Canis lupus familiaris: one gene and its partner. The protein of the gene in region 2 purifies or fractionates together with the protein of the main gene of each other region. This does not show direct contact. Links are inferred from orthologs where the notes say so. Each region holds a gene or a part of one and is shown on either strand. Other genes may lie near its edges. The genes, in order: TXN and PRDX1.

The links.
Region 1: the proteins of PRDX1 (region 2) and TXN purify together in Homo sapiens (affinity purification with western blotting; 3 studies listed by BioGRID, with this or other methods). This does not show direct contact. The link is inferred for Canis lupus familiaris from reciprocal best matches to the Homo sapiens genes PRDX1 and TXN.

The regions. Positions count from the first base shown.
Region 1 is NC_049232.1:65,600,184-65,604,574, forward strand, and holds the start of TXN (thioredoxin), read right to left. Parts: upstream 3,069-4,391; 5' UTR 2,953-3,068; coding exon 2,929-2,952; intron 1-2,928. UniProt on the Homo sapiens protein: Participates in various redox reactions through the reversible oxidation of its active center dithiol to a disulfide and catalyzes dithiol-disulfide exchange reactions.
Region 2 is NC_049236.1:14,929,349-14,933,648, reverse strand, and holds the start of PRDX1 (peroxiredoxin-1), read right to left. Parts: upstream 2,819-4,300; 5' UTR 2,787-2,818; exon of another isoform or gene 2,527-2,786; intron 122-2,526; 5' UTR 111-121; coding exon 5-110; intron 1-4. UniProt on the Homo sapiens protein: Thiol-specific peroxidase that catalyzes the reduction of hydrogen peroxide and organic hydroperoxides to water and alcohols, respectively.

The DNA of each region.
Region 1 (4,391 bases), on a different chromosome or scaffold from region 2:
ATAGCAGGCCCTCCGTAAATACTTGGTGAAATTACTTTCAAAACAAAATAGTATACAAACACTGTCAAGGGTTTCCCAAACAATTCTGAATCAAATTCAAGCAAGGCTACCTAAAATTCTGAAAAGAAGAGAGGCACGCAGCAACTTTTGGCTTAACTGAAGAGTTACAGAGCCAGGTAGGTGTAGACGTCACAACCAATTCTCTTCTCCTGATACTTAAGTTTGTCTAAAAGAGACATCGGTTTGAATGAGTAGGTCAAGATTATCTCACCAAGACGCAAACCACAACGTCTAACTCCCAGAGACTAACAATGAACATTAATAAAGGTCCTCATTATGGATCTAAATATTCCAAAAACAAAATATTTGGGGCAGATGAGAGCAGAGTCTAGAGTCTTTTTTCCTAAACAGCCCCATTCCAAAGATAATTAACAGGCATGGGAGTGCCCATGTATAGAGGGTAGGAGTTCAACAAACGGGCAGCTACTACTCTTAAAAATAACACACAACGGTGTGATTTCTTCCAAGCCACATGGACAGTCCGTTATCCCACTTGTATCTCAAATAGATACCAGTGGTTCTGAACTATCGCACCTTAGAACGAGCTGTCCTGGATGGCCAACGGCACCAACTCTAGTCCAGCAGGATGAAAATCTAAAGTGTATTCAACGTTTGCAAGTAACACTGAAACGAGCTTAACTTTTGATTAACGTCCCTGGAACATTAATTCTGAAGATCAGCTGAATGATCGGGGTCTCTGCGCTCCAGGCTGTAGTGGTTTTTTTGTGTGTGTGTGTGACCAATTTCTGGTCACCCCTGTATGTCTTCTCCTTGATGAGGAGAGGAGGACGCCAAAAGTATGACAACTAAGATACAGAAAAACTGATAGAGGTGTTCCAGGAATCAACCGATTTTGTTTGTAGGTATGCATTCTGAGACAACGACTGTAAACCACTCAAAGTCTTCTCCCTCCTTTATGGGTTCTCACCTGTTGGGTTTACTGATGAAGAGGTCAGACTCTGGGGAACACCCCCCCACACACACACCCAGACTGATTTGTCACTCAGTGGGTACTGAATAAAAGTAGGGGGGAACAAAATTCTATATTAGTGACCTCTCCAACAAATGACAGGATTGCTAATTTTAATATAAAAGCTCACACAATAATAATAAAACGTCAATAGGAAAAAAACTCAGGACAAGTAGATAACAAATCGTAATTAATCCATCAACAAATGGGGCGGGGTGAGTTCAGAGTCACTAATAATCAAAGGAGATACAATTTTTCCTACTAATGATTTGGCCAAAGTTAGAGGGGGAAAGGTCAGTGTCGATGGGGGTGGAGGGGAAGAGCACTCGCCTATGCTTCTTGGGGACTTATAAGCCTTAAATAAAAGGTTCACACCCCTTGACCCCATCACTGCACTGGACCCTAACCTGAGGAAACAAGCCTGAACTCTGCAAGGGGGCATGAACAAAAACATTCACCGAGGCACTGAAAACCGCCCAAATGTCCAGCAACATGTTCAGGTATTGCATGGATTCCAAACCTGCCAACTACACAAAAAAGGGTTCAGGCTAAACTGGGGGGGGGGGGGGGGGGGGGGGGGGGGAGGCTCAGGAACAAAACAGGATACGTAAAATAACCAACCACTTTGGACTTGCTTGTAGGAAACAGAAGCTCTCGTGCGCGCTCAGTTTTCTACAACGATCATACAGGCTTTCTGATTATAAGGGTCAACCAAACGGTGGGCACCCCTACAGAGCAGCTCGCATTTCCGAAGCCACCCAGCATCTCCGGTCCAGACGCTCAAGGCGGGCGAGGGCCGGGATGGGAGCGGCCGCCAGGTAACCGCTCCCCGCTCTCGAGGGTCTCCCCGGGGCTCCAGCACCGCCGGGGGCGCGCACCTGCCGCCCGGGCCCCGAGCACGCGGCGCCCCCGACGGGCCGGGCCCGGCCCCGGCCCCAGCCCCAGCCCCGGCCCCGGCCCCGCGCACTGAGTCATCCCACCGCCAGCGCCGCCGGAAACACGCCCAGCGCCGCCGAGGAGGAGTCCCAGGGCGCGCCCGCCGCGCTTCCCCGCCGCCACCTGGGCCCGCGCACTGCAGGAGGCCGCGGGGACACGCCGCCCGCCCGCCGCCTCCAACGCGCCCTCCAGCGCCCGGCCCCGCCCCACCCCGGCGGCCAACCCGGCCTCCCGGGCAAGGGGTGCAGGAGCGGGGGAGGGGGGGGGCTCGGCGCCCTGGCCACGGGCAGCCCCGGCATCCAGCGCCCGGCCCGGCTCTCCGGAGCACGGGGGTGCAGGGGGTGCAGGGGGGACGGGGGTGGGGGGCGCCCTTGGCGCCCTGGCCACAGTCAGCCCGGCATCCAGCGCCCGGCCCGGCCGTCTCCATCCCCGCGGCCAACTGGGCCTCCCGAGCACCGGGGTGCAGCAGGAGCGGGGGGGACGCTCGGCGCCCTGGCCGCGGGCAGCCCCAGCATCCGGGCCGCGGGAGCGCGGGGTGCAGGAGCAGCGGGGGGGGCCTCGGCGCCCTGGCCACGGCAGCCCCGGCATCCAGCGCCCATCCCGGCGGCCGACCCGGCCTCCCGAGCACAGGGTGCAGGAGCGGGATGGGGGGGCCCCGGCGCCCCGGCCACGGGCAGCCCCGGCATCCAGCGCCCATCCCGGCGGCCGACCCGGCCTCCCGAGCACGGGGTGCAGGAGCGGGGGGGCCCTCGGCGCCCTGGCCACGGCAGCCCCCGCATCCAGCGCCCATCCCGGCCTCCCTCCCCGCGGGGCACGCTCGGCCGCCCCAGGCGCGCCCAGGCCCCGGCGTCCCGCACTCCCGGGCCCAGGCGCCGCGTCCCCTCCCCGGGCAGGGACGCCGACGCCCTCGCCCTCGCCCTCGCCCTCGCCCTCGCCCCTGGCCGGCGACGGAGGCGGCGTACCTTGCTCTCGATCTGCTTCACCATCTTGGCGGCTGGCGTCTGACGAGCGGCGCGAGACGGAGGGAGCGGGTGCAGGGCGCCGGCCGGGGCCTGCCGGGGACGCAGCCCGCCTTCCCTTTATAGCGACTGGGGGCGGGGCGGGCGGGCGCGCGCGGCGTGCGTGTGGCGGGGGCGCGCCCGCTCGGAGCCCCGGCCAGGCCCCGCCTTCCGGAACCGCGGAGACGCCGGCCGGGGGCGGGGCCTCCAGGGGGCGGGGCCTCCAGGGGGCGGGGTCGCCGCGGGCGCGGGGCGGGGCTACCGGGAGCGGCCCGGGCTCGGAGCCCGGGGCCCCGCCCGCCCGCGCAGCAGCTGGGAGCGGGGTGCGCGGGGGCGCCTGCGGGGCGCTCTGTGCGGGGGGCGGGTCCCCCAGAGCCCCGGAGCCACCCGGGAGGGGATCGGCCGTAACCGAAGGCCCCCACGTGCGAGACGGGGCGGATGCGCTTAGCTAGGGCCGGATTCCTCGAAAAGGTCCGCCACACTCCTCCCCCTCCCCGCCCCCCGCCGGCCCCGCAAACCCCACAAAGTGCTGAGTAACGATGACCAGGAAATGCCTCTTCGCTGGAGCTTATCGCGACGGCTCTCTTCTCTGCCCTCTTTCCTTTTCTTTTACTTTCACCGTTGGAGCCGCCGCTGCTCCGGCGTGACACTGCACTCTAGCGCGTGGGAGGGCAGGAAACGGGCTGGGCTCCTGACCTGCAGGCACCTGCGTGGGGGGGGGGGGTACGTGCGGCTCCACTGGTGCAGGTGCGGCCGCGGGCCGTCCCGACGTCCCGATGCCTCAGTGTTCCTGTCTGTAAAATGGGGATCTTGCTGGTCTCTAATTCATGCCAGGGGTGTTTTGAGGATGAAATGAAGTGCTTGTGAAGCCATTAGGACACTGCTTTGGTACCATAGCAAGTACCCAATAGTTATAATCAAAGCTGGTGTGAGTACTAATTAGGCTTGCTTGGTGTCCTTGTTTGGGGCGGGGTGGGGGGTAATGCTGCTCTTGTCGACCTTATATTTATAATGGCGCCAGTACACACATTTGTGTGAGTTTTTTTCTACTACTGGTAGAACCCGGAACAGAGGTGTTGATCCAGGGATGCGTGTTGCAGGTTGGGTCTGGTAGGTTGGTAGGCATTGTGAAGGCCTCAGGAGGGCCCGTCAGCGGCAGGAGGTGAAGGTGGCAAAGGCTTTGAGCTGGAGAGGAATGGAGGCTTGGAGGGTGGAGGTGTTGGGGTGGGGGTCTGAGCAGGAATTTTTCAGCGGGGGAGCAGCTCTGGATGGAGCTACCTCTAGGTGTGTTTGTTGGGATGGTGAAACTGCCCCCTGCCTTCCTTCTCCCTGCTCTTGCAGACAGAAGGAAGAAAACCAGGGGTTTGAACCCATCGTGCCTGCAGGGTTGAGGAGCACAGGGCCCATGAGTAAGACCACGGACCAGG
Region 2 (4,300 bases):
TTACCTTTGTAGTCAGATAGGCTGAGGTCTTTGAACTGGCCATCTGGCATAACAGCTGTGGCTTTGAAGTTGGGAGCAGGATGCCCAATTTTGGCATTTCCTGAAGACATCTTGCTATGGGCTGGAGAAAAGAGGAAGTAAATTAGAAACAAGCCTTATTTTTCTAAGTAACCAACACCCTTCTACCTAGACACTTAGCTACAAAATAAAAGAATTATCCAGTGGCCCTAAATATACATACTAATTTTTTTATATTAGTAAGACGCATCTGAGAAAGCTCAGAAAACTGAGCTTTCTAACTTATGAAACAAAACCAAATATTACAGGGCGCCTGGGTGGGTCAGTCCTTTAAACATCTGACTCTTAAAAAAATAAAATAAGGGAACCCTGGGTGGCGCAGCGGTTTAGCGCCTGCCTTTGGCCCAGGGCGCGATCCTGGAGACCCGGGATCGAGTCCCACATCGGGCTCCCGGTGCATGGAGCCTGCTTCTCCCTCTCCCTCTCCCTCTGCCTATGTCTCTGCCTCTCTCTCTCTGTGACTATCATAAATAAATAAAAATTAAAAAAAAAATAAAATAAAATAAAATAAAAATAAAAAAATAAACGTCTGACTCTTGATTTAAACCCAGTTCATGAACTCAAGGCTAAGCACCGAGCCTGCTTAAAATTCTTTCTCTCTCTTCCCTTCCCCTGCGCTAGAAGACTCACTCTTAAAACAAAACAAAAAAAATCAGGGCAGCCCCGGTGGCGCAGCAGTTCAGCGCCGGCTGCAGCCCGGGGTGTGATCCTGGAGACCCAGGATCGAGTCCCACGTCGGGCTTCCTGCATGGAGCCTGCTTCTCCCTCTGCCTGTGTCTCTGCCTCTTTCTTCACTCTCTGGATGAATAAATAAATAACTCTTTAAAAAAAAAATCAGAATACTTCTCTGAACATCAGCTTTTGTTTTCCTTTAAAAACAGCAATTTTTAAAAATTGAAGTAACCTCTTACTTTTCCTAAACGATCATTTATGCAGTGACATTTTCTGTACTCTCATTATGCAAAAAGCTCCAGAGAAAGAAGGTTCGATATCAAAGCTGAGCCCAAATGAACAATTCCACAAACAGAATGTCTGATCTCTAGAAGTGGTCATGTTGCCCTTTCTCTGGACTGCATCTTTATCTGTCTTCAGAATTCAAGAAGTCCACATGACCTTTCTCCAGGTACATTTGCCCAAGAGACCGCACACCCCTAATCCAACTCTGGTTTTCTGTTTTTGTTTTTGTTTTTTTTTTTTAATTTATTCAGAGGCAGAGAGAGAGAGAGGCAGGCAGAGGGGCTGCCCCCCTAATCCAAGTCTTTAAGAGACATGATTCCCATCTGCTAAATTGCAAAACTTCAAGGGTTGTGTTTAAGCCCTAGAAGTCCTTTCAAAAGTAGGTTTCTGGGCAGCCCCGATGGCGCAGCGGTTTAGCGCCGCCTGCAGCCTGGGGTGTGATCCTGGAGACCCTGGATCGAGTCCCATGTTAGGCTCCCTGCATGGAGCCTGCTTGTGCCTCTGCCCCTTTCTCTCTGTCTCTACGAATAAAGAAATAAAATCTTTAAAAAAAAAAAAAAAAAAAGGTGGGTTTCTGACCTCAGGGCCAGGATTCTGGAGCAGCAAGTGGAACAAGGGTCTATTGCTGGGAAGCCTAGCTGGCTCAGTTGGTTGGAAGCATGTGACTCTATCTCAGGGCTGTGGGTTAGAGCTCCATGCTGGATTTAGAGATTACTTAACCTTAAAAAAAAATCCTTACTGCAAAACAAATCATTGCTAAAAAGCAATGCTGCACTGGATTCACTCAGGTCAACACAAAGTTAAGGAATTAAGATGTAAACCAGTAAGTCATCAGTTTGAAAGGCTCAAGAAGCTAATTTCCCAAATCCCAAACTTTTTTGGTGCATAAAACCAAGCATCTATTATTGCAAACTTTCTATTGCTAACGCCTTTTAAAAAAAAAAAAAAAAACCTAGTAAGGCAAGTTGCAATTTGGCGACCAAATATAGAGGGGGTGTGTGATCCTAACATAAACGACCTCCTCATCCAAACCTGCTTTTCCACGTGGTTCTCACGTCCACTAAAGACCGACTCGGCGGGGTAAAGGCCCTTAGACCTCAAGGCGGCGTGGGCCTCGGTGGATCTGCCCATGAACTTCCAAGGCTAAAGGCACGCCCCCAAATCCCGCTTCAGGTTCCCTCCTGCCGCTCCCATGAGAAACCCCACCACAGCACTTAGGAAAGCACTAGCCGCCCCCCCTAAAAAAAAAAGAAAAAAAAGCAGTCTTGACAAATTTGAGATCACTACAACCCTATTACACAAACGCAAAAAATAAAGCCAGGGTAGGAAATCAGTACCGGAAACTGCCCATGTAGGCCCAGCGGAGGGCCGGGAACAGTCATCACCTCCACCACACGACAGGCGGGTAGCCTCAGGTCAGTTTCCAGGTCCACTCTAGAAGATTCCTGAGCCCGCCCCGCCCGGAAGGAGCCTAGCTGAGGAGAGCCCACCACTACCACGAGGCCCCCTCGCCGCGCCAATGAGCGCCCTCCGCTCGGGTTGCCGGGGGAAGAGGAAACTCGAACCGACGTTAGCCTCAGGGTTTAAACAGGTCCCCGCGTCCGTAAGGGAGGGCGCGCGGACCGCCTAACTACTCTCGAGCGCCAGACCTCGTCCAGCCACCTCCCCCGTCACAGCACCCAAGCCAAGTAGGGCAAGACCCTGGGAGAACCAGGAAAAGACGACGACCCGGGCGTGGAGAACCTTCTCACCAGCGCTGAGGAGACTAACCGCCGATAACCAGTCAGGAAGAAGACGCGTGAGGCGAGCGCGGGGCGCTGCCTTTATAGCCTGCGGGGCTCTCGCGAGAGTCAGAGCGGGCTGGGGGTGCAGGAGGAGGAGAGGGAAGGGGGATCTGGCCCCGCCCCCGCCCCAGCCAACGCGCCCCGCCAGAATGACTCAGCACTTTCCCTCGCGGTGGGCGGGCTCGGGCTCGGAAGGTTGGGATCCCCCTCCCTGCTGCCGACGGTTAGGGTCGGGGAGCCGAGGGCGGCGGTGTCGAGGCCCCAATGCCCCTGTTACTCTGGGATCTCTGCGAGGGTCTCCTGCGCGTCCTGCCCTCAAGACCCAGACCGCGGTATTGGTCTTGCCCCACGGAGGATTACGTCTAATCCACATCAAGCACTTAAAATTGTCAAGTGTTTCTCACATATGCCACCCCGATCCCCGCAGCCTCTGCCGTAGTGCTGCCTCAGTACCTAGACAACCTCCTTCATTATTCTGATTTACAGGATTGCTGCTCTCCTTCTCCCACCCACTCCTAACGCAGCGGCTAGAGGGAATCTTTCTGAAATCTGATCAGTTCACTCCTCTGATTTGTGGTTTTAAAAACTGGGGCTCCGTAGTCTGTTTCCTGAGTTAAAACTCATTGTCATTTTATGTGTGGCCTTGATTGTTCTCACCCGTAAAATGGAAAAAAACTAGTAATTCCTTGGGATCATCTTTGTGGCTTACTTAGCACAATTCCTAGTTCTTATTATACGTTAGAAATGTTAGCTGTTATTATAGAATTCTTCCTTGCTCCTAGCTGGATTGTAACACCCAGAACAATGTGTCGCTGTTTCAAGACTTCAGGCTTTTGTTCAAATATGAAGAATCTGTTCCCTCCTAGTAGACCTAGAGAAAATGTCTTTGAAGACCGCCGAAGCATGACTTCTGGAACTGTTCCGGACCTTGGCTCATCCTCAAAAGTCCTGGAAAGCTGTTCTGGCTTTTGCTCCTCCCCAGAATTTATCATTCCGTCCTTTGTGCCCAAAACAACATCCTGTAAGGCCAGAAGCTATACAAAATACCTCTTTAAAAAATATATATATTTTGTTTATTTATTCATGAGAGACACAGAGAGGCAGAGACACAGGAAGAGGGAGAAGCAGGCTTCATGCAGGGAACCCGACGTGGGACTCGATCAGTGGGACTCGATCAGGCATCTCCAGGATCACACCCTGGGCCAAAGGCAGCTCTAAACCACTGAGCCACAGGGGCTGCCCTCTTAAGCTATTTTATATGTTTATATGCCTGTCTCTTCTTGCTACATTGACTTTCTGGAAAGTAAGGTTTGGGTTACACACACCTCATGTCCCTAAGACATAACAGAGCACTCGATATAAAATAGGCGCATGTAATAAATACATTATGTCCACACTGCCTCTATCACGACCCCCCAACCACCACCATCCTATTAACTGCCTTATGTATCATAGCAGGATAAAAAATGGGAACATGCTGG